Linked DNA regions of Tamandua tetradactyla. The protein of the gene in region 3 purifies or fractionates together with the protein of the main gene of each other region. This does not show direct contact. Links are inferred from orthologs where the notes say so. Each region holds a gene or a part of one and is shown on either strand. Other genes may lie near its edges. The genes, in order: ELAVL1, TUBA1A, STAU1 and DDX21.

Region 1 (7,283 bases), on a different chromosome or scaffold from region 3:
TTTATCACCCCCTCCCCATCTCTTCCTTCTGTGTGCAAATGTGACTTCCCCACTTTGTGGACTAAAACTATTCAATAGCCATTCCTGGCCCAGCCTTAAGGAGAACTCTTTATACAACAGACAGATGTGAAGCCCTTCACAACTGGGCCTGACTCATCCCACTCACCTTGCCTCTACTGGCTTCCACCCTTCTTACCTGCCCCTCAAGCACCAAACCCCAGGTTCCCTGAAGAAACTGAGATATTCCCATCTCCGTGTCTTTCCTCATGCTGTTCCTGCATCCATCAAAACCCTTCCCCATTGTGGAAGGATTCTGGTTAACTCCACCCCAGCCCTCACACCTTGCCTCCTCCAGAAGGTCTCTGCCATCTCTTCTGCCCACCAAGTCTTGGTTAACAGTGCCCTTTTCTGTGCTTCCCTGAAGCCAGTGCATAATTTATCACTGCACTCACCAGAGCGGACTGAAATGATCTCCATACACCCTGTATATTCCACTGACAAGCCTGGGACACAACAGCAGATCAGGGGGAGTTAGCTGAGGAGGGAAGCAAAACTCACTTCCCTTTTACAGGCTGGTTTCCTTGGGTCTTCCCCTGTCCCAAGGCCTTACTGCTTCACTATTGCCATCTAGGGGTGAAATAGTGTAACTGCACTTCTCTCACTAGCATTTAATTGGATTCAAATGAAAATTGAATGGGATGGGGGCACAAGTGAGGGAACAGTTAATTCTGGTGGAGGTGGAGGAAGGGTGGGAGTTGGAGAAGGCTTCAAGCCGTGAGTGAGCTCTGAGCTGGGCTATGCAGCATAAGGAAGAGATCTCCAGGTGGAAGAGAACAGCATTCAGGAAGTGGGAGCAACAGAGAGGGCCAGAGTTTAGATGAGGTCAGAAAGGAAGAGAGCATTAGAGTATGAAAGACCTGGAGCCCCAAGCTGAGGACTTTTGACTTCATCTTGCAAGCCACTCAAAAAGTTCAACTGTTTCTTCCCCACCCAAGGACTTTTAATCAGGAGTGTCATGATCAGATCCTTGTTTTAAAAAGACAATCCTTGCTGGATTGTGGACAGAGGATAGAGACAGGAAGCAGGAAACATGGCCTGAGTGAGAGACAATAGAGCGAACAGCAGAAAGAGCACTTTCCTAATTCTCCTCTCATTTTCTACTTGCTGCCCTGTGACCTCAGAATCAACACAACTAAAATGGAATTCTGCCTACCTCCCAAGCTAGGGCTTCAACATAAACATTTTTTCCTTCCACATTTTGAGACATTCATATATCTCAGCCTTTTTGTGGACCTTGAGGTGGCAGAATTTTATAATAGAATCCAGCACACAGGGAGTGCTCAATGATAACTGAATGGAATTCCTTGAAACACTGTCTCTCTGGGTCTCCTGGGCTGCTGAGATGATAAGAGCAGTAAAACCCTGTGGTTAAGAATGGGGCCTTTTGAGTCAGAGGGCCCAAGTTAAAGTCCCAACTTGGCCACTTTACTGTGTGAGTTTGGCCATTATCAAGTGTCCCACCTCTGCTCATTTTTTTTTTGTTTGTAAAATGGAAATTATAACAGCAATCAAGGGTTGGAGATGTCTGTGCAATGTTAAGCAAAAATAAGTTCTCAATAAATACTGGAGATTATTTACAACATCATTTATTAAGTGCCCACCATGCAAAGGCCATGCACAATAGATTACCAAATAATTGACTTAAATCCACACCTTAATACTCTCAGCCTTTCCATTTCACAGAGAAGTAAGCTAAGGCTCCAATAATTGAGTTTGTCCATGGTCTCAGGAGCCTTGGATCCTGGGGAGACAGAGTGAAGAATGGAGACTGGGGGCCTCTTAGTGAAAGTTCATCTAGTCCAGTGGTTCTCATTCTGGGGGCGGGGGCGATTTTGCACCCCCTGAGGACTTTTGGCAATGTCTGGAGACATTTTTGATCTTCATGCTTAGGGTAGGGTGGGGGAGTAGGAAGAGGAAATGCTGCTGGCATCTGGAGAGAAGAGGCCATGGAGGCTACTAAACATCCTAGAATTCACAGGACAGCCCCCACAACCAAGACTTATCCCGCCCAAATTGTCAGTAGTTCTGAGGTTAGGCAACCCTTTTCTAGTCCCATCATCTTCCTTGTGTTCCCACTTCTAGAGCATTGGCCATCGGGCTCCTACCTGAATACTTTTAGTAAGGTAGGGGCTGTGTCTCTCCAGGGGCAGCACATGCAAAGTTCTCTCCCACCCGCCATATATCCAGCAGGTATCAGAACCCATTTTAACAAACCTAGCAAAAAACACCGGAAAAGGAAAGAAAAGCATCCATCCCCCATTGTTCAATTGCGTGCTGTTTGTGTTTTCAACACACACACATTTTACAAATCTTAACGTCCCACGCCCCGTGAACAGCTTTGTTAGAGATGGCGCCCAAAAATAAATATTTTTCTAGGACTCCCATACATACTAACGGGTTTGCACACTTCGAAAAGGACTCCGGATCGGTCGCAGTCCACAAAAGAATCTGTAGGATTTCCCGGGGGAGCGAGCTCGCGGGCCGTGACCTCTAGGCGCAGTTGACGCTCACCCCACTCCCGGGTCTCTGGCTTCACGCTCCCGCCCCCGGATCCCGGGCTTCCAAGCCCGCCGGGGCCTTGGGGCCGAGCGCTTGCCCCAGCCGCCAGGCGCGCGCCCACGCCGTGTCCCCCTCGCCCACCCTCGCGACGGCCGAGGAATCCGGCCCTGGGCCTGTCGCCGGCGCTCACACCCGCCGGACCCCACTCGCCCGCGGCCCGTGCGCGTCCCCTCCCGGCCTGGCGCGGCCTGGCCCTCGGCCGGTGCAGGCCCGCGGGCGCCCGCGGCCCGGTCAGGAGAGCTCAGGCCTGGCGCGGCCTACATCGCCGGGCGCCGCCGAAGGCTCCCATCTCACCTGGACGCGGGCGGACGGGCCCGGGGCTGCTCCGGGGCGGGCGGGAGGCGGCGGCTCGGCGCTAACGGCTCCGCTCGGCCTCGGTAGCGGCGGCGGCGGCGACGGCGGCGGCGGCGGCGGCTCTTCCTCAGCGCGCACGACCCGCTCCGGCCCGCGGCCCGGACACGCCCCCCAGGCGCGCGCGCCCATTGGCCGGCGCCTGCCACGGCGCTCTTCCTATTGGCCAGTGCAGCTGTCGCGGTGCTCAAGGCGCGCGGGGGAGGCGGGACTTCCTGCCGGTGCCGCCTGCGGTGATACTCGGTGGCCCGCGATGGCCGCGAAGGGGAGAGCTAAGGCCCGGGCCCACGGAAGTCCCGGTCGGCAGAGAAAGAGAAAAGGGATCCTTGTCGAATCCCTGCCTTGTGGCCCGAGCTTGTCTGCCCCGCTGCCGCCGCCCTGCCAGGTAGGAAGAGTCACCACTCCAGACTACAGGGGACTGGACGCGGGTTCGAATCCCGGCCCAGACGTTTCCGCGGTACGTACTATTGGACAGGGGCTGACGTCACCTCGCCGGGCCTCAGTTTCCTTATCTGATGAGGTGAGGAGGCGGGCCTTGGACCTGGTCAGGACCTGGTGAGCTCCCAGAGGCTCAGTCTAACATTCACTCAATAAAACTTTATTGAGCGCCTACTGTGTGCAAGTCACTGTAGGGGCAGTGATCAGACAAGAAATCCTGCCCTCATTAGGCTGACGTTCTAGACGAGCGCTGTCCAGAAAAGCCAGATGTGAGCCACGAACGTAATTTTAAATGTTCTTGTAGTTGGCATTCTGTATCAGCGCTGCCCATAGAAATATAAGCCAACTACAAATGCCAGCCACGTGTCATTTAAGTGTTCTAGTAGCTACGTTCAAAAATTTAAAAGGAAAAATAGGTGAAATGAATTTTAATAATGTTTATTTAACCCGAGATGTCCAAAACATTATTATTTCAACGTAGAATAATATAAAAAATTACGAGACCTTTTAAAATTCTTTTTTGTTCCCCCACGTCTTTAAAATCTGTCTCAGCACTTCTCAAGTCCAACTGGCCACATTTCAAGAACTCAAGAGGCACACGTTGCCAGTGTAGACCCAGGGGGAGAAAAGAAACCAATCAAGTGGATTCCACATTCAGTGGTGAAAAGTGGTAAGGAGAAAAGCAAACTGAAGAAGGGTGATGGGGAGTACAGGGGTTGCATTTTAAAAGAGGGTGCTTGGAAAGGCCTCATATTGAGGAGATGGCACTGGAGGAAGAACTTGAAGGAGCTGAGGACAATGGACAAATAATTATGCTATTCATTGTTTAGTGCAGTGTCCTGTAGAGCCATCTGGAATAATGGGCCTGTTTTACATTTGCACTGTCTAATTCAGTCACCAGTAACTTCATGTGGCTTTTGGGTGTCTGACATGTGTCCAGTGCCATTGAGGAACTGAATTTTTAATTGCATTTTATTTTAATGAATTTAAATATACATAGCCACATAGGGGAATAGTTCCTGCAGCAGATAGCCTAAGTTTAGTATGGCAGAAGCAAGCCCTCAGTGTTGAGTGCATACTGTGTTAAATGCTTTATGCACGTCCTCCCAGGTAATCCTTGAAGTCATTGTCACCATGATGAATGATGAAGCCCTTTGGTTATATAGCAATACTTTTTTAGTAGTAGTAGCAATAGACTTTATTTTTTAGAACAGTTTTAGCTTTCCAAGAAAACTGTGAGGATAGTAGAGTTCCCATATGCCCCACACCTAGTTTCCCCTATTAGAACCAGCTTAGATTACTTAGATACGTTTGTTACAATTAATGAACCAATATTGACCTGTTCTCATTAACTAAGGTCCAGACTTATTCACATTTCCTTAGTTTCTCCCTAATGTCCTTTTTCTGTCCTGGGATCCCATCAAGGACTCTGCATAACATGTAGTTACCACGTCTCTTTAGTCTCCTTTAGGCCAAGGTAGTTTCTCAACCTCTCCTTGTTTTTGACAGTCTTGACTCTTTTGAGGGGCACTGGTCAGGTGTTCTGTAGGACATCCTTCTCCTGGGATTTGTCTGATGTGTTTCTCATAAGAACGTGATTACAGGTTCTTAGAAGGAAAAACACTGAAGTAAAATGCCCTTCTCATCATCTTATCAAGAGGACATGCTGTTAGTGTTATTTTTGACTGTGGATGTTGGCCTTGATGCTACCTGGCTGAGGTAGCTTCTGTTGAGTTTCTCCACTGTGAGGTTACTTTTCCCCCAGCCTTTCCTTATTGTGTCTTTGGAAGGAAGGCATTGAGCACAACCCATATTTAAGGAATGGGGCAGTATGCTCCCCCTCCTTCAGGGTGGAGTATCCATATAAATTGTTTGGAATTCTTCTGCATGGGAGATTCCTCTCTTCTCCACCCTGTATTAATTTAGTCAAACATTTAATTAGATCACTAGGGACTTGTGAATATTTATTTTATGCTTTGGGTTAATACTCAAAACAACTTTATTTTGTTGCTTACGTTGTACTGGCTTTGGCCATTGGGAGCTCTGCCATACCCCCAACGGTGTGTTTTTGTGCATTATTGTTTTAGAGCATTTTCTTACTCCCTGGAACAGCAAGAAGTTCTGGGCTCACCTTGTCTCTTTCCTGCCCTGGTTCTTGAATCAGCCATTTCTTCAAGGATCCCAGGTTCCATTTATTGGAAATGGTTTTAGATACCAAAATCTAATTACTAGGTGTACTTGTTGCTACTGGCATGTCACATTAGCATTAGTTGCAGGTGCTAGCCCTAGGCATACAACAGTGACCACACAGACATGGCATCTACCCTCACAGAACTTTGAGTCAGCTTACAGAGACTGGTTTAAGAGCAGAGCTCCAACGTATATTAACTGTGCAACTTTGGACAAATTATTTTGTCTTTCTGAGCTTCAATTTCCCCATCTATAAAATGGGGATGATTATAATTTTCCTGAAGGTGCTGTGAGAGTTAGGTGAAATAACCCATTTAGAATCTCTAGAACAAGATCTGGCATAATGTGCTTATTATATCTTATTATAATAAATTGCACAACTAATTATAATCTAACAGAGGTTTGGGCCATCAGCAAAGCATATAACTGGAGGACTTGACTTTGTTTTAGGATGGCTAAGGAAGGCTTCCCATGTCATTGGTGTTTCAGCTTAGTCATGAAGGGTGAGTTACCAAGCAAAGAGGAAGCAGAATACTTCAGGCAGAAAGAACAGCAAGTACAAAGGCCCTGAGGCAGGCTGGAGGCTGGCACACATAGAATACACGGACAGGAGAAGGACTCATGGGATTGGCAGAGGTGGGCTGCACGGGGCCTCGTTGACCATTGTAAGTTGAGACTCAGTCCTAAGAGCAAAACCAGAAGTGACTTGCATGAGTACACATAATCTAGTGCACAGAGTGACAGAGTCAGGATTTGAACTCAGGTCTGCCTAGTCACAGAGATCCTTTTTTCTGTGGTTTGAATTTGAGAGGAAGTTCTTGCTTTCTTTTTTCCTTTTTCTTTTTTTTCTGTAAGAAGTGTAGTTTTCCTTCTTACAGTAGGAAGTACTCGAGGAATACCCTAAGTACCTGAGGAGTACACTCAAGTCACTATGTTTCCATGTTGTTCTTGCTTTCCCTCTAAGTCCTGGTCTGTTCCTTAAGCACAAGCTATTGAAGGTCTGTGAGGTCAGGAGACACAAAGATGCTTCGGCCTAGGTCCCTGCTCTTGAAAAGTGAGTTGTGGGAGGTGCTGGGATACAGGTGGTGAAGGAAAAGGATGGCCAGATGAAATTGGACCAATGTCCGGATGTTGTTGCAAAGAGACCTGAGGGGGTAGGCAGAGCCGTTGGGATTTTATCCCGAAGTCCTAGAGTTGGCAAACTATAAACCAATTTAGCCCACTGCCTTTTTTTGTTTGTTTGTTTTTTGTATGGGCAGGCTCCAGGAATCAAACTCGGGTCTCCAGCATGGCAGACGAGAACTCTGCCACTGAGCCACCGAGGCCTGCCCCCCACCACCTATTTTTGTACAGCCCACTAGCTGAGTGTTGTTTTTACCGTCTTTTAATGGTTGAAAAAAATCAAAACAAGAATAATATTTTGTGACCTGTGAAAATTGCATGAAATATAATGAGTGCAGGGTTTCTGCTTGGGTAGATAGAGAAGTTTTCCTATTGGAAGGTAGTGATGGTAGCACAGCATTGGGAATTGAATAGCTTGGGAGTGATTGAGGTGGGAAATTTTATGATGTATATATGTTACCACATTTAAAAAAGAGATAGGAAGAGAGAGAGACCAAAGAGAAAATGACAGTTAAGCACAATATGGAGGTAAAAAGGTCCAAAAGGACATTATTAGAACATAT
Region 2 (7,252 bases), on a different chromosome or scaffold from region 3:
GAGGTGAACCCAGAACCGGTTCCCCCACCAAAGCTATGGAAAACCAAGAAGCCCTGAAGACCTGTGCACTGGTCAGCCTGTTAGAAAAGAGAAGAATAGGGAAAAGATAGTTATTGTTCTTTGTGATACACGCACAGTAAATGTATTTTCATTCTTCATACATCTCCAAGTATATAGATATTACTTTGACAATAAACATTTTTTAAATGTAGAAATTAAAATTACTCAGGAAATTACTCAGGATTTATTAATTTAAAAAATCTTCATTAATATTTTTAAAATGATACCATATCATTCATGTTTTAACTGGGTTTTTTAAAAAACCTAAAGGAATAATTCATCTCTTTATTATATTTCAATGTTGTGTTTGAAAAAAACATTTATTTCAGATGTCTTCCTTAGGTTCATTACTTTACTGTATTCTTGAGAAGAAACACATACCAGTTTGCGAATTCTGTCCAGAACCAGGTCAATGATCTCCTTGCCAATGGTGTAGTGCCCGCGGGCATAGTTATTGGCAGCATCTTCCTTGCCTGTGATGAGCTGCTCAGGGTGGAAGAGCTGGCGGTAGGTGCCAGTGCGGACTTCATCTGGAAAAGGAAAGCAAAGCGCAACCCATCATTAACAACCTGCACAAGCCTACTTAACCCTGGGGCATAAATGGAGCGTCCAGGACAGACCTGTCCCAGACCCCTGCAATCTCACTCAGGTTACTGACTTCCACTCACCAATGACTGTGGGTTCCAGATCTACAAACACTGCCCTGGGCACATGCTTGCCGGCGCCTGTCTCACTGAAGAAGGTGTTGAAGGAGTCATCTCCTCCGCCAATGGTCTTGTCACTTGGCATCTGGCCATCGGGCTGGATGCCGTGTTCCAGGCAGTAGAGCTCCCAGCAGGCATTGCCAATCTGGACACCAGCCTGGCCGACATGGATGGAGATGCACTCACGCTGTGCAAAGGGAAAAAGAAAAAAATGTGAAGTTAAGCTGTATTAGCATTTTGAATTTTCAGTATACAGGTATTCTTCAAAAAGTTTTGAGGTCTTATCCCTAACATAACAGAAATAAGTAAGAAAAAGCACCTGCTACAACTGCGGCAGATGGGTGTGGTCCAAATGATAATGTGCCTGTTTAGCACATGGTACAAACCCATTGTTCCCACAGTCATGCTTGAGTAAAGATTTTTCTTATTTAAAAATACACGAAGTATAGACTTAGTAAAATGAAGTAAATTAAATTAAATGCTAAATTAACTGGAATTCACTGCTTCCTTCCCCTTCTAATAAAGATTAGGGTTTTGCCTAAATGAGACTTGATGTCTAACATTGACATCTGCACTGCAGCTGGGGCTAACTGCCACACCCATCTGCAGTCTATCTGCAGAATTCATGGATACTAGGAGATGAGAAGCTAAACAAAGTCTCCTGGCATTGCTGCATTGCTGCATTTGCTGTGCTGGTGCTAACTTGTACTGTCTGCTACATTATTTAACAGAGCAAGCTCTATTTTCAGCAACCGCCTACATGATCTCATTGTGCTGTTTTGCCAGTTTTCCTTCTCTGACCCAGCCTGGGACCAATGTGCCCGAATTGAAATGAATTAATGAAAAGGCACTAGAACAAAAGACATCTGGATTCAGAGTATAATCCAGTCTTCTTTGTCTGCAGAAATTTAGTTACTTAAAAAAATGCTTTTTCCAGAATCTTCTCCAGTTTAAAAAACCTGAAAAATTATGTTTAAAACAGCAGTTCCTAAATTGGAAACAAGTAACACAAGAGAAGCTACCAAACAAAGGATAAAAACCCAGTGAGACGATAATGAAATATTTATTTAAAACAACAAAATATTTTAATTCTGAGATTCTCTACCCACTACAGAATATTTCATACTCATCACATTCCGTAGATTTTCTTCTCTATGTCTTTAAGACAACTTTCATTGTCTATTCATTGTCTAGTATGGGGGTGGGGGTGGGGAAGGGCGTTTCCCTGAGTTCTGGCCTTATAGTGCCCTGGCTCACAAAGTGCCTTTCTCCCTCGGTGAACGTAGCCCAGAAGGACGGACGCACGCAGACACACAGACACACACACGTCGGCATCCCCAGACCAGACACTTAAGGTCTTGTCAAAAGTGAACTGTGATTTTGCTTTTTAAGAAAAATATATTTCATCTAAGTTTTAACAGTGAATGAAAAACCTTTTAACGCCTACAGTTTCGCAATGATTAAAAGTTTTTGTTAGAAGTCTTCTCCTTTTACGAGGGCGAACCCCGCCCAGTGGCTGCAACGCTAGAGAAGCAAGAAACAAACAACTCCGCCCCTGCGCCACGCTTACGCCGCCGGCGGTGGGATCCAACAGAAACTAACAATTTTATCCCGTTACTATTCGGGGGTCTGCCTAGTATACCAACGAATCCGCGAGAGACCTTTTTGCATTAATTGAAAATTTTGCTTTTCAGACAACTCCCCTCCCTGTTCCTGGAATACGAAGCGACAAAGAAAAGAGCACATTCACCGACATACAAGCAGGCGACGCCACGATCGCCTTTTTCCGGCCCCAGACCTTTTCATCTTCGACAGAAGGCCTCGGCATTTCGCCCGTTTGCGGTACTGTAGGGCTCGGGTGACAAAAGCTCCCTCCCCGTCGCCTTTGTTCCCCCCCCCCCCCCATCCTTCTCTGCGCTGTGGGCGCAGTTCTTGCTTGGCTCCCCCACCGGCACTGCGACAGCCAGCCTTAGAGCTAAACCTCTTAAACAAAGCAAAGAGATTGCGAAGGAAAATAGTTTAAGGTTTTCCGAGTAGAATGGAGATCTGATCTTACCAAACTGCCGCAGAGGGCCGGAGAAAATAGATACTTACCATGGTTACTCCTTGGCGGCTGCAGAACAGATGGCGGAGACGAGGAGGAGAGGTTGTTGCTTCTTACAGCGCGACTCTTAGGCGGTCGATGTAAGAGAACCTACGGCACATGGGCGAATGCGGCTCCCTATATACAACTCGGTCACCATGGGAATGGACCGGGGCCTTTTCCTGTTGGTCCAGACCCCTCAGTCTGCCCAGAGAAGCCACAACAAGAGAGTGGTGATTGGTGCAAGCGACATGGGATGAGGTAATCTCTCCCCCACCCGTTTCCCCCCAGCATCCATAGACTGTTTGCATCCTTCAGACAAAGAGACCAAGGAAAAGGAGTCAACCGTGTATCCATGATGGGGTGGGGTCGGGGGGAAATGGGAGGAAAGAGGAGTGGGGTTGAATGATTTTATATTTCACAGTCAAGCTACAGTTAAAATCAACCATATAGAGGTTTTTTTTTTCCTACACTTAATCACAGAATGTGAGATGAAATATTTAATGGAAAATTAATCCCAATCTCTCCTTGATAGTATACTAAGATCGACTATATTCAACGAAGATTCAATATCCCTAATTGCTTTTAAAAGGAAGGAGGAGAATATGGGAATACAGTGTTTTTGTGCATGATTTTTTTGGTAAACCTACAAGTTCCCTAATCAAAGTTTTTGTTTTTGTTTTTTTTAAAAAAATTAAGTAGGAGAGAGGATGGGAGTGATGCTTAAAATGGCTTCAGTAAACTGGGTTTTTTTTTTTTCATTTTAAAAATATTCAGTAATAGAGCCATTCCAAATGGTTTCTTGGGTGAAAGTATTTTATTTTCAAACCTTCGTTTCCACCCCTTCCCCCATAGCTGAACAAAAATGAAGGAGGAAAGAATGACCATACTAACAAGGCAGCGCACAATAGTGTTAACTTGGCAGTATTTGGAATTTAACATAAATAGTGAAATAATCTACTGGAAATAGTCTTTTACCAGAAATCTATGTAATGTTTTTTGTGTGGCATATTGTCCCTAGAAATGAATCATTGTCCTGATATAGAATTGAAAAAATACAAGGAGAAAGAATTGAGTTCAGAAGCTAAACTACCTGTGTGTGTGGTTATATTTCTGCATTGTTCTCTTTTTTGGAACGTAATAAGCAAAAATAATAACTGAGACACCAAATTAAAAAGAGGAGATATGTAACGTAAAGAGAAGACCATCTTGAAGTGTTACCTCCATTCACTGTTTTGTAATGTCAGCTCAACAACTGCATTTCTTTTTTATGTAGTTCTTATGTGAGTTCAATAAATACCCTCTTCTGCATTTGGCTTCTAACTGTGGGAATTGCAATCAGTCTCACACGGTTGCTATTCAACCAGAAGCTCTGGTTGTTGCTCAGTTGCCCACTGGGGACAAAAAAGGCTTTGCATTCGCCCCCCACGAAATGGATTACAGTAACATTCTTTTGCTATTTAGAAAGTTTCCATTATCAACAAGGATGGGCAGTGCAGAGTAAGTCTCTGGCCTGAGTACCAACCTGACTTGGCTGATGAAATTTCATAATTTAAGAGGTTATTTTTTGCCACTAAAGTTGGAAAACTGTATTTAGGCAGATAATGTTTCCTTTAGGTAACAGATTTTCAAGGTCTGCAGCATCATTTACAGTGCTGTGCAGAACACATTCATTCCTGCCTGTCTGGTAGGCAGAGCAGGTTATAGGAGGGAGGGCCTAGAGGAGACAGCTGCTGCAGGTTGTGGTGTGTCAGTGGCGGCCATGAATTTTCCCAACCTACCATCTACAGCTCTGTTTTACTTGTTCTAGTCGTCTCTTAAAAACAAAAACAAAAACAAAAAAACCCAGCACACAAGTCATTTTATCTACTTTTTACATATTTCATAGGAAAATGTTGCTCAACATAATTTTATCTCTATCCCGTTAGCAAATAAAAGTATATTTCAATAAAGAGAAAGGATTAAGGATGGCTTGAATCCCATATGCTTCTTTCTGAACCCAGAATTACATTTAACCACCAAAAATAAGAATTAAATGGTAGAGGGGAGCATAAAGACTTATAAGTTACGCATTTCTTTCAAAATCTAAATGATGAAAGATATAAGACAGGGCGAGACTATGGTAAAATGAATAAGTTTCCTTTTGGAATGAGAGGCACAGCCTTGAATTTTATTTTCTTTACAATAGAAAAGGTTAAGAAATATATCATTTCTGCATTAGTCTCAGTTCTTTATACGGTTTACGGAAGATTGAATAAAAGAGAGGAGGTTCCTGCAGCTGATTCTTTGTAATTCTATCTCAGAGCCATTCTGTGTCTTATGTAAATGAGGTGTTTTTTTTTCTCTTGGGCATAAGTAACAATAAGATATAGGTCAGAAATACACTATTTGACAACTGGTAATCTATTAAATATAAAAATGCAACAGCATGGGGAAGTAATTAATTTGTTCTTTTTGTTCCTCATTATCTGACTTAATAGCACGCAAAAAGTATGTTTTTTATTAGTTCACGTCTTATTTTTACTGCCAGTTCCTGACATCAGTTTACGTGTAAAAGTAATCTGTTATAGATTTGTTCCTGTACATAGTAAGATTAGTATAAAATATTGCTCTTTTGAGGTATTTGTGGAATTTTGTTTTATTTATTTGCATGTCTGTACCTTTCCTCCATTAAAATGTGAGTCCTAGTCCCTAGGAAAGTGTCTAGCATAAGTAGACATTAATTACATATTCTTTGAATTAAATAATTAAATGGACAGCTTCTCTCTGTGCATATTTCATTTACTATTATCGTGGTGAATAATTTAAAGGTCTTAATAGAGTATGTTACATTTTATATTCAACACCTATTTATGAGAATCTACAGTGAGCACCAGTGTGGGGAATTCAGAAGTAGTTGCATAGACATTTTTCCCTAGAAAAATGGAAAAAAATTTTCCAGTCGAGTTGAAGAAGTAAGACATGTACATGTGTATTGGCTTGAGACTGACATGCTTTTGTATGTGTAGGGTGATGGAACATTTGTAGACTCCATTGCAAGGTCCCATATATCATAACTTATGTAGGAAACAAGAGAGTTGTCTAACACATTTTCTTCTATTTCTTCACCTCCTGTTCATACCTAAATCCATTCCCACCTGAATTCTGCTCCAATTTCCCCTTGAAACCAAATGTCCTCCACTTTTGTTGTTAAATCCGCTGCACAAATTTTTGTTCTTGTTGACTTCTGATAAACTTTGCTTCTATTAACTATTTTCTCTTTCTTGAGACATTTTCTTCCTTTCATCTGCGTTTTCCTGGTTTCCCTCCTACATCTTTGGCTGTCTTTACTGGTACCACCTCCTTTTTCTAAACTTTAAATGTTGACATTTCTAAATGTTCAACTCTAGCCTTTTCTTCATTTTATTCCATGTTCCATAGATGATCCCATACATTCCTAGAATAAACACATTCACTCTCAAGGTATCAAATGCTTTTTTTATGTTGATGATTTCTCAGCATCTCTTCTTAGCTCCAGATCATATAGTAAACTTCCAACCTCTAGCTTGATATTTCACAGATATCTTAAACTAAACTAGTGGTCTTCTTCCCAAACAGGCACTTCTTACAAGGTTCTCTTGCTCAGTAAATGGAGCAGCATACACCCCATCTCTCAAAAATAGAAACCTGAGAATTATTCTTGACCCCTCCATCTCTTTTTATGAATACCACAGAATCTGTCATTAAGCCCTGTCAAGTCTATCTATTAAATAACTCTCAAATTGTATTCTTTTCTCTCTGCCTTTATTGCTTCCATTTAGTGCATCCTTTCTTGCCTGGATAACCTCAGTAAACTCCTAGAAGATTTTCTGCACATTCACCTCTCACTTCTAGACCCCCCACCCACCAGCAGCCACAGTGATCTTATTAAAGTACATATTTGATCATGTCACTTCAGTAACCTCCTAGAAGATTTTCTGCACATTCACCTCTCACTTCTAGACCCCCCACCCACCAGCAGCCACAGTGATCTTATTAAAGTACATATTTGATCATGTCACTTCACTGCTTAAAGCAGTGCAATGGCTGTGGATTAGTTAGTTTTTTTTTTTTTTTTAACTTTTTTTATTGTATAGTATATAACATATACACAAAGCAAAGAAATAAAACAGCAATAGTTTTCAAAGCACTCTTCAAAAAAGTGGTTACAGGATTGATCCCAGAGTCTGTCATGGGCTACCATATGATACTCTCATATTTTTCCTTCTAGCTGCTCCAGAATATAGGAGGCTAGCGGGCTTAAATACTTTTTTATCATCACAATCGACATTTTTTTTCCTTCTTTTTTTGTGAACAATAACATATATACAAAAAAGCTATAAATTTCCAGGCACAACAGCACAATTAGTTGTAGAACATATTTCAG
Region 3 (8,010 bases):
AGATATGAAATTGCTTTATTTTTCTTAGATTTAAAAGGCATATCCCTCCCTATCTCCCAGGGTGTAATGACTAAAACATAACATATAACATTTCCAATGTACTTGATCAAGCGTAAAAGTAAACCTATAAAATCAAAATAACAATGTTTCAGGTCTAAGACTGGAAACTGTTCATGATCAGAACTTAGAAAATTAAGTAACAATGACAAACATTTAAATATTTCTGTTAACTTCCATTCAACTCTAGGAAAGATCTCTTTTTTAGACAAGAAAGAAAATATGAACACCTATGTTGTGATTTCATACTAATCACCAAATTTAACATTTCATTCAGACTGAACTTGCTGTTTGTAAACACAGCAGATGAGGAAGGCCTTGCCAAAACAATTCTTAAACAGTGGCTTTTGAAATTAAATACTTAGGCTTAATTCATACCTTCAAGTGATATCGGCATACTTACACAACTGCTATAAAAACAAAAAAAACTTTGAAAGTTTTCATTATGAATTATTAACTGTGTTTAACTTTGATGAAAAATTATTCTCCATTGAAAAATTATTCTCCATTAAAAGTGGCTTAACAGGTACATCTTCACCGGAACAGGGTTCAGGAAATCTGTATTTCTGATTGCTTTCCAGTTACAGCCATCAGCAGCGAAAGAACTGTTGTTTTTGCACACACAAAAAAAACAAGGAAGTATTTTTGGATTTTACTTTGAGGGGAGAAAGCACTGGATCAATAACTAATCTTGAAGCTAATTTTTTTTCCATTGTACTCGTATGTAAACAGAGACGGGCACCCCAACAAACAAAATTTAGAACTATGATCCTGCTGAAAGTAGATTTTGTGACAAATTAACACACTGAGGCATTCTGATAAAAGTCAAAATCGCTAAAGTTATGATATGATGTTTGAGTTCTGTTTCAAAATAATCCAGTTTGTGGGAAACAGGAAACAAGATTGACTTTAGCTATGAGTTAATAATTGTCAAAGATGAGTGACCAATACATGGCGGTTCTCTAACCAACTTTTGTAGGTTTCCATAATAAACAGTTGTTCTATGACAACTTGAAGTTATCTACAGCAGCATTAAGCATCACTTCTCTAGCACTTCAATTCACAATATGGCAGAAGACATGCTTTGTATTGTCTGTATAGGTGTTTTTTAAGTGTTTCTAAAGAGCCATAACAAGATTTAAAGTAAAAATGATGGTAAGACTTTATGTCAGAAAATTCTAGGAAAATGCCGAGAACAGAGAGGATACTTTGCATTGTTGTATTATTGTGGGATGGTTATAAAAACATTTTAAGTTTACTAAAGAAATTCGCTGCCTAAAAGAACCCATTCAGTATAACAAACACATGCTATTTCTAATTCCTGTAAATTTGAACTTTCAGGAGTTTCAATTCCTTAATGAAGGGTGCAATATACAACTAAGTACAGAATTAAAAGAAAATCAGCATGATGAATAAAACTGTTCTAAAAATCCCACCTGTTGCCAGGATGATTGAAACTGCTCCCTCTATAATCCAACTGTATTTTTAGTTTTTAACTCAACAAGTAGCAACGTAACTTACATTTGGTAAGCACACTGATTTCTGAAAGGCCAAAATCCACGGAAAACCTAGTTTAACTCTTTCCACCGCCTTCTAATCAAAGTCACAAGGAGAAGGGAAGAGTGATCTTAAAAACGTCCCTAGAGTCAAAGAGGAGTGGCAGAACAGACTGAAACACGCATTTCTGCGGGATCGGGAGAAAACTTCCACACAAGCAAAACTGTAACACACGGAAGGAGCAAGAGCTGAAAATGAAAGTCTGCCAACGGGGACGCAGGGAATAAAAGCAAAGCTGCAGTGCAAAAAAAGTTAGGAAGTATAGATGGAGAGCAAGAAAGGACTTATTTTTTCCATCTTCGTACAATCCCCTTCCAGAGCCCGACACACATCAGGTGCTCCAAAAACGTTTGCCGAACTCAAGGGAAGCTTCTGCCAGCAAGTTTCCCAGAAAATGGAATAACAAGAAGTCCAACAACGGAAGAAGAAAAGGACCGGTTGCTCGCAGTGAGGGAGCTGGTGGGAACCCTGCCGTCGGTCAAGCGGAGGAGACGGACATACAACATCTACCTTTTACAGACGGCTGCTCCAAGGTGTCCCATTCCAGCGTTCGCCCCTTTCAGACATTAACAACCCAAAACAATGTCCTGGAGCTGCTGGTGGGCACGCTCAACATCCCTGCCTCTAAGGAAACGCAAACTGGAAGGCGGGTCAACTTCTGTCCGCTCTACCCATTCAATTACACCTTAATACCACGCTAATAAAAGATGCAGGCGGCTTACCGGGACCCGCGGAGGGTCTGAAGCTCTGATGAGGGCTTCACACGCCCCGGCTCACTGAACCTTAGCAGCGGGACCTTGTGAGCCCCTTTTCCAAAGAAGCCCAAAGAGTTTCAGCGACTCGCCCAAGAAGGCAGGGCGAGGATCTATGCCCACGGTGAACACCTGAGCAGTGCTCGCAGTCACCACGTTCCAGAGCCGGGTTGGGGGCACCGGGCTGTTCCGGGGCTCCGGGGCTCCGGAGTTCCGAGCCGCGCCCCTACCCGCTCCCCCGGCCCCTGGCCCGGGAATAACTTCGGCGGCTCCGAGCGCGGAAAGGCGGTCGTGGCACCTGTTTGTGGCCCCAGCAGGGGGTGGAGGGGGTGGGGGAGGGCAGCAGCAAGGCCGCCGGGCGCCCTGACCGGGGGTCTCGGCAGGACCCGCCTCCCTGGGGAAGGCCCCGCCGGCGGACAGAGGCCCGGGGACGGCGACCCCGCGCGCGGCTCGCCGAGGCCTAGGCCCCACCCGCCGCCCGCCGCCCCGCGCCCACGGCCCCGCGCGGGCCGGCCAGGCCGGGCCCAGCCGCCTCACCTGGCTGCTGCCCCGAGTTCGTCCCCCGGCCGACAGGCCTGGGTGGCGGCGGCGACGTCGAGAAGGGGCAGGAGGAAGGAAGTGGGGAGAGGAAGAGGGGACGGCGGGAGGGAAAAGGCGGAGTGGCCGTGGAGGGGGCGGGCGCCGCCCGGCCGGGACGTGAGGGGAAGGGGGAAACCAGAGAGACGCGGCGGCCGCGGGCGCAAACGCTGAGGAGCCGCTGGGCGCCCGCAGCCTGGCAGGAAGTGACGGGGGAGGGGCCGGCGCCCGCCCTCGGCCCCCGCCCGCCTCCATGCCCGGCCCCACCCCCACCCGTGGCCGGAACCACAAGTCCCGGCGGGCGCTCCGGCGGCGCCTGAGCTCGCGGGGCGCGCCGGGAACCTGGCGGACTGGGGCCGAGTCGGCGTGGCACGCCGCGGCCCGCCCTGGGCCCCTGGGCCTGCTGGGAGTTGGGGTCCCGGACTGCAGGCCCGCGCGAGGTGTACCTGGGAAAGTGGGCGGTCCTTCCGCCCTTCCGGTTCTCCCTCCCTTCCGGCCTCCTTTCCGGCCTCCCTCCCACCCTCCTTCCCCCCCTTCTTCCTTTCGTAAGTGTGTCTGAGCAGGCGTCACTGTGAGAGCGGAAAGCATGGTGACCAAACAGAAAGACCCCTGCCCTCATGGAACTTGCATTCTAGTGGGGATAAAACACGCAATAAGTAAATAAACTCCGTAGTCTATACAAAGGGTTCAGATCGATAAATGCCTTGCCCAAAAGGAGGGGAGACAGGCAGAAACCGCAGCCGCGCAAGCAAACAAGACGCCCTGAGAGGGCCGCAAGTGCTGTGAAGAAAACGGAGAGGACGAGGTGACCGACGGGGACGGGCGGGCGGGCCCTTCCGGGGAGACGTCGGAGCGAGACCTGAGCCCGCCGAACGTGTGAGGGCGGAACATTCCAGAAACAAGAAGTGTAATTTTTAGACTTTTGTGATTTTTATGACTTTTCATAGGCTTTTATGAACTTTGTATGTCCCCATTCCTTTTTACAGACACAATTTATCTTCTGGGTAGAACAACACAGAATTTAGTGTAACATACTTAATGATCACAGTTTCTTACTTCCATCTTCCTCCCAAAGAAAACCTTAGTTACTTGGTAAGAGTCAGAAGGTCTTGAGGCCCTTGGAAGAGAATGTGATGGATGGCGTCTAGGCCAGAGAAAAGCTAATCTAAGGAACCCTCTCCTGAACCCCGGCCAGCCCTACAGCTAACCTATATCTTGGCCGTACATTCCGAAAGTTTGGAATACTTAGCGAAATGAAGGATGTTAAATCTCCAGGTGGTTGTTGTTTTCTATTTCTTTTTTTGTTTGTTGTTTGGATTAGTTGCAATTATTCTAACAATCACGTGGTTATCTAGGTTTGCATTGTTGCTTTAATAATGAAACAGATCAGGTTGCAGAGAGCCTGCTGAGTGGCAGCTACACCCTATAGATGGACATGTTCTTTGCATTACAGCACGGTGCCCACCCTGCCCATGTCGCTCATTTATGTTACTTCCCTGTTGGCATTTGAGTTTGCAATGTCTTGCCTACTGTGTAAGTGCATGAGCTGAATCTGGTCCACAGAGCTGAAGACTCTGAAAGCAGTCATCGGTCAAATAATCTCCAAATGCAATGATGCATGTAGGAATGAACTGTACATGATGTTATGAGGGCATTTCATGGGGGATCTGACCTCGTTTCATGGTTTAGGGAAAATAACCCTGAAGCACCGTAGCTTTAGTAAAAACTTGAAGAATAAGTAAGTAGTCATTCAACATATGGGGTGCAGGAAGTGTTCCCAAGGACAGGGGAAAGCATACAGTAAGTCCAGGGGTGGGTCAGCATATGGCACATACTGTAGTTATTATTGGTGTGAAAGAAATCACTCTCAAACTTGATTGCTTAATAAGAGTATCAATCATTTTATTAGCTAGCCAAGATTCTGTGGACCAGAAATCAGAAGGGCTTAGCTGAACAGTCCTAACTGAGAATTTCTGTGGTTGCAGTCAGGTGGTGCCTGGAGCTGGAACAGTGGGGGATGGAGCACCTGGGGGGCTGGCTGGGCATCTCTGTTTTCATGTAGACTCAGGGCCTGTCCCGGTAGTCTCTCTGCCTTGGCGAGTTTGGACTTCACAGCATGGCAGCTTCAGGGCGGTCAGATTGCTTATGTGGCAACAAAAGGCTTTAAGAGTAAGTTTCCCAGTGAGCAAGGCAGAGCTGCGTTGTCTTTTGTGAACCAGCCTTGGGCGTCACACAGAGCCACTTCAATGTACGTTAGTGGCTGCAAGCAAGACACAATCCTGTCCAGACCCCAGGGTAAGAAAATTAGATTCCACCTCCCAATGGACTATGGCTGAGATCGTGGGCAACTTGTAGGAATGAGACACTGTTGAAGTGAGTTTTGGAAAATACAATCTCCTCAGCCATTTTTAAGGCCAGTTTGGTGGCCACTCGGAAAGCAGATTGGAGTGTGATTCAAGGTGAGACTGGAGATCTGGCAAAGGCCAGGCTGCGCCTTGCTTATAGGCCTTGTTAAGGAGTTCTGTCTTTGTGTTAAATGCAATGGGAAGATATTGGAGGGTTTTAGAGAGGAAGTAAATGTTCAGATTTGAGTTCTTTAAAGATCCCTCCAGCTAGTCTGTGGAGCACACTGGAAGAAGTTTCAACTGGGGGCTCAGGTAGGTGGTTGCTGCAGTTGTCCAAGTGACTGAGGAGAAGAGCCCGGCTTCAGGGGTTGGTGGGCATGGGAGAGAAATGGATGTAGGCAACAGTTATTCAGAAAAATGTACTGGATGGGGGGTGGATCAGATTGCAGTGGGAAGGGAAATGGAAGAATCAAGAATGACTTTTAGTTTTCTAGAAGATAAGCTTTTTTTTTTTTGGCATTTTGATATGCCCTGGAGACGTTCAAGGGGCAGTGGCAGTGGCAGATCTGGAGCTCAGAGGAAGAGTCTGCTGGAGACACAAAGGTGTGAGTCAGTAGCACATGGGAGGTAATTGAAGCCTTCCCTGCACATGTTAATAGGTGTTAACACCTAATGAATTCTCTCCACTCAACTTTCATACCGTGTAGCAGAACTCTTTGTACCCTTGTATTTATTCAGTTAATTATTCACTGAGTATCTCTGCTTATCTAAGACCAGGCAGTCAGCCTCCGTGAGGGCGGGTTACCCAGGTGTCCTGGTTGTCACAGTGTCCCTGGTCTCTCACCCAGAGCCTGACACAGGCAGAACAGTGTACTCCCATCACTGTGACGGAAGCTCAGATCACTTTGGTATGTCTTGTAACGGGAGCCAGGGCTGAGAACTACTAACAAGTCTAGGTGAGTAATTCTCAAGATCATTTCAGGTAGACTGCACCACTAAATCTATCTCAGAATCTCCTGATAATGGGAGGTCAAATAGAAGATCCCATTTACAGAGCATTGGATAAAAGAAAAATTCCTCGAAATAAACTTTACAAAAAATATGCACAAGCTATGTGAAGAAAATGTTAAAATCTACATAAAGATACAGAAAAGGACTTGACTACATAGAAATATAAGCAACGTTCTTGGCTGGGAAGAATCTGCATTCCTAAGATGATCAGTGGATCAAGACATTTAATGAGATCTCAATAAAAATGCAAGTAGGACTTTGTTTTGAAACTAGATGAATTACATAATAGTAAGGGTCTGGTGTCATCTAGGCCAAGTGATGGTACCCAGTTGTCTGGTCAGGCAAGCAACGGCCTGTCCATGGCTACAAGGATGTTTCATGGCTGGTTGATGAACCCAAAGGCTGATGTATTAAATCATCAGTCTGTTGATTGCATCAGTGGCTGATTACAACCAAGATCAACTCAGGCATGTCTCCCACCAATGAGGTAGTCCAACCAGTTGAAGACTTCTTCACGGCTTCTTCAGCCAGCGAGCCTCTCCTGTGGAATCTGTCCAAACCCTTCATTGTTGCCACCAGCTTCACAGCCTGCCCTATGGATTTTGGATTCGTCCATTCTCACAGTTGCATGAGATGCCTTTATAAATCTCATATTTACAGATATCTCCTGTTGGTTCTGTTTCTCTAGAGAACCCTGATTAACACAAGCTGTGTCTGAATTCTTTTGAAAAACTAACAAGAAAGAATAGCCAGGAACTTTCTCTGAGATATCTAGCCAAATATTAAACATGTTATAAACACTTATTCATTGAAATAGTTAGGTACTAATGCTTGAATAGACAGGCAAATCAGGGAAGAGAAAAGAAATCCCAAATAGGCCCAAACATATAGGAATTTAGTATTCATTAACGTATTCAAATTCATGAGGAAAAGATGGATTGTATTCAATAAATGGTTTGGGACCACAAGCTAGCCTCTGGGGAAAAAAAGTAAAGATAAATCCATATCTCATATCTTACACCAGGGAAAAATGCTGAATGGATCAAGGATTTAATAGGAAAGAAAGAAACTGTAATATTGCCTGAAGAATCTCTGTGATAATTCTTTTATAATCTTGAAATGGAAAAGAACATTTTAATTATAACATAAAACTCAGGAGCCTTAAAGTAAAAGATACATTTGTCTTCAAGAAAGTGAAAAACTTTTAATCTTGAAAAGTAAAAATACAAATGACAAACAGGAAAGAATTTGCATCTCAATTACAGAAAATGCAAATTTCATAAAGTATAAAGTGCTCCTATGAATAACAAAAGATTAACAACCCAATAGAAAAATGGATAGGAGAGAGCAACAGACAGTTCAAGGGAAGGGAAAAACAAATGATTCTTTAAAATATCAGTATGAATTCAAGGCTATTAATGGAAACTTGGTTTGTAAAAGCAAAAGTTTGAAACTAATACCATTGTCTGTTGGTCTATGACTAGCTAAATAAACTCTGACATTCATAAAGTGGAATAATAATTAGTGCTTTTTGAAAAAAAAAAAAGATACTTTTAGCAATTCGGGGCACCTTGCCCTTCCACAATGGCCATTATCAACAAAACAGAAATGACAAATGCTGGAGAGGATGTGGAGAAAGAGGCACTTATTCACTGTTGGTGGGAATGTCAAATGGTGCAACCGCTGTGGAAGGCAGTTTGGCGGTTCCTCAA
Region 4 (6,956 bases), on a different chromosome or scaffold from region 3:
TGGTATAAGACAACAAGAGTATAATTAGTAGGCTTGATGAGTTCAGGCAGTCAAGGAACTGAGAAGCAGGTTTTATATGTGTGGTTTTCCCAAACAGTGATGTCTCTTAGTTTGAAAGCCAGGCCTGAGGAGGGAGAGGAAGAGCCAGGTACCAAACTATTGATGGTGTGGAGGTTGGTAAATTGCTAGAATGAGGAAGATTATAGGATATTACCACGTATCTTCAGAGAAGCAAGGGCTTTTACATGAAAGTGAAGGAGTAATCTAGAAATGGCTTTGAGGAAAAGAGGACACTGACTTGAAGGTTCATGGTATGCAAAGGAACCAGCAACTTTTGTGTGAGAAAACTGCAGGGAACAGTTTTTTTTTTTTTCCCCTTAACATGGGGAGGCACCGGGAATTGAACCCAGGTCTCTGGCATGGCAGGCAAGAACTCCACCACTGAGCCCAGTTTGCCCATCCTGCAGTGGGTGTGGGGGGGGGGTAGTATTTTCCAGGAAGAGCCAGATTTCAGTTAAAGCAAGGAGAGTTGAAGAACTTTGTGTGATGGATTGAGGAAGGAAGTTTTGATTATGAGGAATAGAGTTCCAGATGACCATGACTGATGGGAAGATCTCAGTTGGCTCTGCATTTGAGTAGTTGTGAACTCTGAATTTATATCCAAGATAAATTAGAGGTTCAGTTCCTATAAAGGTGAATGAGTACCAGTACATTCAGTCAGAATATGTTAGGCACCTACAATATCCCAGACACTATACTTTGGGCCCAAGGAAAGCCAGGTCTCTATCCTCAGGAGCTCAGAATCTTGTGAAATAGATGGACACATAAGCCTAGGTAAACAACAGTGAACTAAGTGTAGTTAAGTGCTCTGTGCAAGGGCACTGAGCCCAGCCCAGCAATGGGGTTGGGGGTTCAGAGGAAGCTTTTTGGATATAATGACTGAATATGAATGAAGTCAGGTAAAAGAAACAGGGATGTGGGGATGGGCATCCAGGCAAAGGCAAAGAAAAGCTAATAAAACAATAAAGTCTAAGTATGGGGAACCATGAGTAGTTCTTGCTGCTGAGATCTTCACTGTTAGGAAAGCATTGGTGAGAACAAGGCTAGAGTCATATCTTGGGGCATTTTGCAGGCCTTGTTTTGAAGAGCCACTGGAGGCTTTTAGGGAAGAGATTAAAAAATTAGTAAGCATTAAGATAAATGACAGCAAGGTAGAGGGTGGTCTTAAGGCTGACTTCTTTATTAGCCTACTCTCAGGCAAGGAAGTGGGGTGGATCCTAATAAGATTAAATAATAGCTTCCCATATTTCTGAAAAGGCAGGGCAAGTTCTCATGAAATTCTTAGCCTTGGGTTACTCAGTGATTTATCCTTACTCTACTTCTCCCTCTTCGAGCCCAGCGCCTTCATGGCTTTCCCTTTTAGCTATTCAGAGTCTCCAGTGTGGTGCTGTGCTCTAGTGTGGTTAGTTAACTACTTGAACTTGAATCAGTTACCCACAGCTTTGGTTTTTGAATTTGTAAATGAAATAATATGTTTTATTCCTTCAGCATTACAAGTTTGAATAATGAATTCACATTTAGGTGTAACTGTCAGCCTTTTCTGTTTTTTACATATTTGGGGTTGGGAGAAGCTGCTTAATAGTTTTTTTTTTTTTTTTTTACCATATTTTTTTCCTTATTAGTAATACATGTCCATTGTTGAAAATTTGAAAAAAGAGAAACAAATGGAAGAAAATAAAACACTCATAATTAACATCCCTCAGAGAAAAGTAGTGCTAACATTTTGTTGCATAGACTTTTGAATTCCTTCGGTGTGCATTTATGTATGTATATGTACATTTTAAAATAGAAATTCTCTCCCTAATCTTATGAAAACATGTTACCTCATGGAGATCAGAGGAAACTGGTCCAGAGAGTTGATACTTAAACAGGACTTCACAATACCTATCAAGGCCCAATTTTTTCCACTTATTACGGATTTTATACTGATGACTTGATTTCAGTATAATTATTTGGCCATCTTTGAGCCAAAAGGGACTTTTTTGTGTGTTTCCTCTTGGAATGCTGGGCTCTGCCTGTGTGCAGATACGTTCGTTACAAAGGATATTTTATAAACCTGACAACAGTTTTCCATTTAGTAGTTTGTTCTGGGTTTTTTCCTCCTATTGAAAATGTGTTAATAATAAACATGTCCTTATACAGTTTCAGCAGTATCATGAACAGCAGTATCACATGGTTTTGTGGTTTCTCAACCAAATTGCAGATTCCCTGAAGTAGGGACACGGTCTTAACATCTATAACCCAGAGTCCACAGTATGTGCTGAAATTCCAGATGAAAAGCATTTTGTTAGTTAGTTGATTGGTGGAATCCATTCATGCTTCCTTCCCCTTCTATCACACACAACAATCAGAATGACTGACATGCTCTCCTGCCTGGACTTATATCTAAAATTTATTTTGAGGGTGTTTTTGCTTTTCATGATTGCTATTTGAATGATAAACAAACATTTGCGTGACAGCCTCCTATTTATGTGCCAGGCTGAAATACTGAGGATACAAAGATGGATAAATAAATGAAGGCTCCTGGCTCAAGGATATCACAAAGTGTAAGTTAAAGCATTGTTGCACATGTACATAACTTTATCTTTTAAAAAGAATGAGACTGTGAAACACAGAACAGTAATAGCTTAAATATGAAAAATTTCCATAAGTTTTCCATAAAACTATTAGTTTAAAAATGTCCAGGGTGGGCCATGGTGGCTCAGCAGGCGGAGTTCTCACCTGCCATGCCAAAGACCCGGGGTTCAATTCCCTGTGGCCACCCATGCAAAAAAAAAAAAAATCACAAAAATAAAATGTACAGTAAAAATTAATCTCATGAAATATAGAGATAAAACTTTATTTTTTCCTTTGTCATAAAAGGCAGTATTTTTAATTGTCCAAACACTTGTGACACATCAGTGAGTTGCAAATTTCTTTTATTGTGCCTTATGTGCTAGGTAACGCCAAACCCTTTACATTCATGACATTAAATTTTCTCAACAAATGAGTTAGGTTTGTTATCTCTATATCATGAGAAACTCAGGCTCATATTCTGTAACGTGTCCAAAATCACCGAGCTATTTTTAATGGAATCGGCAGGTTTCAAAGCCTTTCTTGTAGAATTCCATCACATTCTCTTAAAAGACCATGATGCATTTTCTTCCAATTCTTTGTATCACCAGTTCTTCAGATAAAGTTTAAGTGACCGTCACGGATGGGCCACTTTTTCTCAACTGCTTGGATTATATCTTGTCGAGATCATGCAAGACAGGGAGTCCCTATTATTTTCTGATGTAGGCCTACGTGATTTGGGTGCCCCATCTAGTGTTCCCAAGCCCAGTTTAGGTGCCTTTTTGTACCTTCAGAACAAATGCCACTCGTCCTCTCTCCCACCAGTCTATAAAGCTTCCCCAAGAAAAGGTTAGTGTAATATCTCCTACCGAATCCTAGCACTGTTCTCCGACGCAAAGTGAATACTCAGAGATTGTGCGCTGAATATATGAGCACACACATGAACAACCGGACCCGACTGAATTCGGGTGCTTACCGAGACTCGTCAGTTTGGGCATCACCTTTCAGGTAGAAATATAAGAAGTTCAAAAAAACACATCTCGCGCGTCTGTACGCGAAAGGGCTTTGCACACTCGAGCAATCTAATACAAACACCGAAGAGGCGCCACTCATTTATCGGCTGGGGCTTACGAGAATCTGGCACGATAATACAAAGCTAACCTTTGTGGTCCTTTTCAGTTCTACCCTTTGGCAGGTGCCTTGTAGTCCAGGCGCTGTAAATGGAAATGGTTCATTCGCTAATCACAGGCTACGTCAGCAGCCGGAGCGTTGAGACACGCATGGGCCTCGCCTGCTTTGTACGTCCTGCTTCCGCCGGAAATGTCTTGATACGGGAAGTGACGAAAACTGGGTGGGCTAAAGAGGCAGTTCTATCTTTTCCTCTCCACGCGGTTGCCGAGTTTGGCTGGTCTACGCAGGTTCTGTTGAGTGATGCCGGGAAAACTCCTTAGTGACGTCGGCTTGGAATCAAATACGGCCATGGGAAAAAAGGAGACACAACGAAAGCAAAATGAGAAGGTGCCACGGAGGGCTGAGGGATCGGGGGCGAGGCAGGGAGAGGGACCGGGATGCTGAGGGGAGCGGGGCCCTGGAGTACGGGAGAGGAGGTACCCGGGCTGGGAGAGCGTGGCGCGCGGCGAGGAGACGGGGCGTGTAGTTTCGCCAAGAGGCTCTCGAGGGTGGTGGTCTCCAAGGGCAGTTCGTCGCTCTCGGAACTCTGGCTCTCTTCGGCAAGGCGCTGGGACCTCTGGCAACAAGGCCGGGGCAGATCCGATCTGGGGAACGGCAGATCGGGTGTCCCACGTGGTCTCCGGAGTCTGGGCCCCGTGCATGTGGTACGCAGAGTTGGACATTCACATTTGGCCCTTAGGTTGCCGGCTCAGATTTAACGACGGGCGTGAGCGTGGGCGGTGGTGTATCAAAGTCAGTAGAGGAAGTAGGGACTGACGTCTTAACTAAAGAAATACTAACCCTATTTGAGCACGTGGGGAGAGATTTTTAGAGGGCGGGCAAATGCTGGCGGCGTCTGCAGTAAGAGAAGTAGTTTGTCTTCTGGTGAGCAGCCCTTTGAAGAAGAAATAATTCAACTCCTCCTAATATTTACCGATCTAATTTGCTATGGAAATGTGACGAGAAGGGCTGTGGTGCTACCTGTACACTATTTTTTATATGGGCCAGTAGTATGTGAATTACCTTGACAACCGGGTACTTCTTTGATGCTGAATCCTATACCCACTTGAGTTTCTCTTCTGAGATGAGGTCAGTGAAAACACCAATTGTCCCTGAATTTGCTTTGTATTTGACTTACAATTTCCTTTCCTAGCTGTTTCTGTATCTTCCTGATGGGAGAGCATTTGGTATTGTGGGAAGCAGACAGAGTACAAATTTGTCCCCACAGATGGGGATGTAGTGGTTCTGGTTTACTTGTTTGAATCAGTTTGTGCGCTTAGGGAATTCTCAGATTAAGAGGAACCTCTTTGATTCCCGGCCCAGGCACTCCAAAAAAAAAAAAAAAAAAAAAAAATCAACAAATGGTGCTGCAGTAACGGAATATTCACATGGAAAAGAATGAAATGTGACCCCCACCCACAACATACCAAAAAAAAAAAAAAAAAGGAACATAATTAAACTTTCCCAAAGAGACCCATCTATTTGGTAGAACCAGGGAATGAAAAGTGGAGCAAAGTCTTGGGGAGAGACCAACTTTTTCCTCTGTTTATTAGAAGGGTGGTCACGTGGGAGAGAGGTTATCCATAGTCTGTGATTCTAAAACTGAGAACTGACGTTTCAGGAAGGTAAATTTCACTCTGATAGTTTCTGAACTTCCAGGGATTTGCTTGGGGCTCTGCCCAGGTTCTAACAGGTATAGCCTGTCCAACTAATTGTAATAAGTTTTCAGTAATCTGAAAAGTTGAATAGGGTCAGAAGTTTCAGGTAGGACCTCTAGCCGTATGTCTGGTTTGGTTTGGTGGTTTCACCCCTTCCATTTCCTTTTAACTTGTGCATCTGTGGTTTGCTGCTACTGTTGTTGAATTAAAGTATATCATTTTTACACATTGGCTGTGGGTCTTTATAGCTTTTTGGTTCATAAAATGTTTCTATGTAAATTCATTTGAGCTTGTGTGAGAGGTAAAGCAAATATTATTCTTGTTTTGCTTGAGGTGGAATTCTAGTAGGTACAAAAAGAAGGAATCTGTGTGACAGCATCCATTTGTGTACATACAACCCTATCGGTATTAATTTTGAACTGTGCTTGATCACTTTCTATAGTATTTAGTTTATTTCTTTTTTGTATTTTTTAAAAATTATTTTTTAGAAAGATAAAAAAGAGAAGTCAAAATCTGATAAGACGAAAGGATCAGCAGAAGAAAAGGAGGCTATGTCCCCCAAAGCAAAAAAAGTTAAAAAGGCAGGACCTTCTGACGTTGATATGAATTCTCCTAAATCCACAAAGGTAACAAAGAAGAAAGAGGAGCTATCTGAAAAAGACATTATTTCTCCTAAAATTAAAAATGGGAAAAAGAAAAAGGAGGCCTCTGAAAACAAAATTGTTTCTCCTAAAGTAAAAAAAATGAGTGAGGAACCTTCTGAAGAAGAAATAGGTGTTCCTAAGCCCAAGAAGATAAAGAAAGATAAAGAAATGAATGGAGAAATTGGAAAGAAAAGCTGTAAGCTGAATGGCTTTCCCCATTCTGGACTTGAGTCTAGTGAAGCTGGAAGTGAAGAAAGTAAGGAGTTAGAACAGGTAAAGTTGCACTGTTAAGGGGTAGAATGTATTTCTTTGTTTCAAAATGCAAAGCAATACCTACGAATACTATTTAATATGTGGGGTGGGAATTTGATGTGTCGGCATTTCATGAGTGGGGGCTGGGGTGGGCACCCTGACTTATCTCAGTTTATTAAATTGCATTGAGTTGGAATGCTTCCTCTGCAATGAGTAGATCTGTTTAAGCTTAGGGAAAGTCTTACAATCCTTGGTCTGCTGCTTATTTGCAAGTCAGTAAATCAATTGGAGAGGTATAGTTATGCAGGCAGGACTAGCTTCCCTCTAAGGGGTTTTGCCAAGTCATGATTAAGTGGAACTACAGAAAAGGTGTTGATTGATTGCATAAAAATCTTTTTGTTCAGACCATTAATTAACTTGAGTTGAATAGTATGAGTGAAGTTCTGCCTACTTGGAAGCTACTTTTATCTTTCAAAAACTTGGTAATCAAAATAAATTTAAATTCTGTTAAGTAATTTTTTACTTGCAGCAAGATCTTAATTTTTCCCCTCAATTATTAAAAATATTCTTGATATTCTCACAAGCAGTGGGGACAACAAAAGCAATAGGCTGAGTCCCC

Evidence for each region.
Region 1: the proteins of STAU1 (region 3) and ELAVL1 purify together in Homo sapiens (affinity purification with mass spectrometry; 3 studies listed by BioGRID, with this or other methods). This does not show direct contact. The link is inferred for Tamandua tetradactyla from reciprocal best matches to the Homo sapiens genes STAU1 and ELAVL1.
Region 2: the proteins of STAU1 (region 3) and TUBA1A purify together in Homo sapiens (affinity purification with western blotting; 3 studies listed by BioGRID and IntAct, with this or other methods). This does not show direct contact. The link is inferred for Tamandua tetradactyla from reciprocal best matches to the Homo sapiens genes STAU1 and TUBA1A.
Region 4: the proteins of STAU1 (region 3) and DDX21 purify together in Homo sapiens (affinity purification with mass spectrometry; 4 studies listed by BioGRID and IntAct, with this or other methods). This does not show direct contact. The link is inferred for Tamandua tetradactyla from reciprocal best matches to the Homo sapiens genes STAU1 and DDX21.

What each region holds. Positions count from the first base shown.
Region 1 is NC_135337.1:84,443,744-84,451,026, forward strand, and holds the start of ELAVL1 (ELAV-like protein 1), read right to left. Parts: upstream 3,016-7,283; 5' UTR 2,914-3,015; intron 1-2,913. UniProt on the Homo sapiens protein: RNA-binding protein that binds to the 3'-UTR region of mRNAs and increases their stability.
Region 2 is NC_135333.1:110,096,273-110,103,524, forward strand, and holds the start of TUBA1A (tubulin alpha-1A chain), read right to left. Parts: upstream 3,007-7,252; 5' UTR 2,862-3,006; coding exon 2,859-2,861; exon of another isoform or gene 2,689-2,858; intron 952-2,688; coding exon 729-951; intron 591-728; coding exon 442-590; intron 78-441; coding exon 1-77. UniProt on the Homo sapiens protein: Tubulin is the major constituent of microtubules, a cylinder consisting of laterally associated linear protofilaments composed of alpha- and beta-tubulin heterodimers.
Region 3 is NC_135327.1:3,468,926-3,476,935, reverse strand, and holds the start of STAU1 (double-stranded RNA-binding protein Staufen homolog 1), read right to left. Parts: upstream 3,021-8,010; 5' UTR 2,904-3,020; intron 1-2,903. UniProt on the Homo sapiens protein: Binds double-stranded RNA (regardless of the sequence) and tubulin.
Region 4 is NC_135339.1:28,236,705-28,243,660, reverse strand, and holds the start of DDX21 (nucleolar RNA helicase 2), read left to right. Parts: upstream 1-3,936; 5' UTR 3,937-4,044; coding exon 4,045-4,131; exon of another isoform or gene 4,132-4,538; intron 4,539-5,929; coding exon 5,930-6,358; intron 6,359-6,956.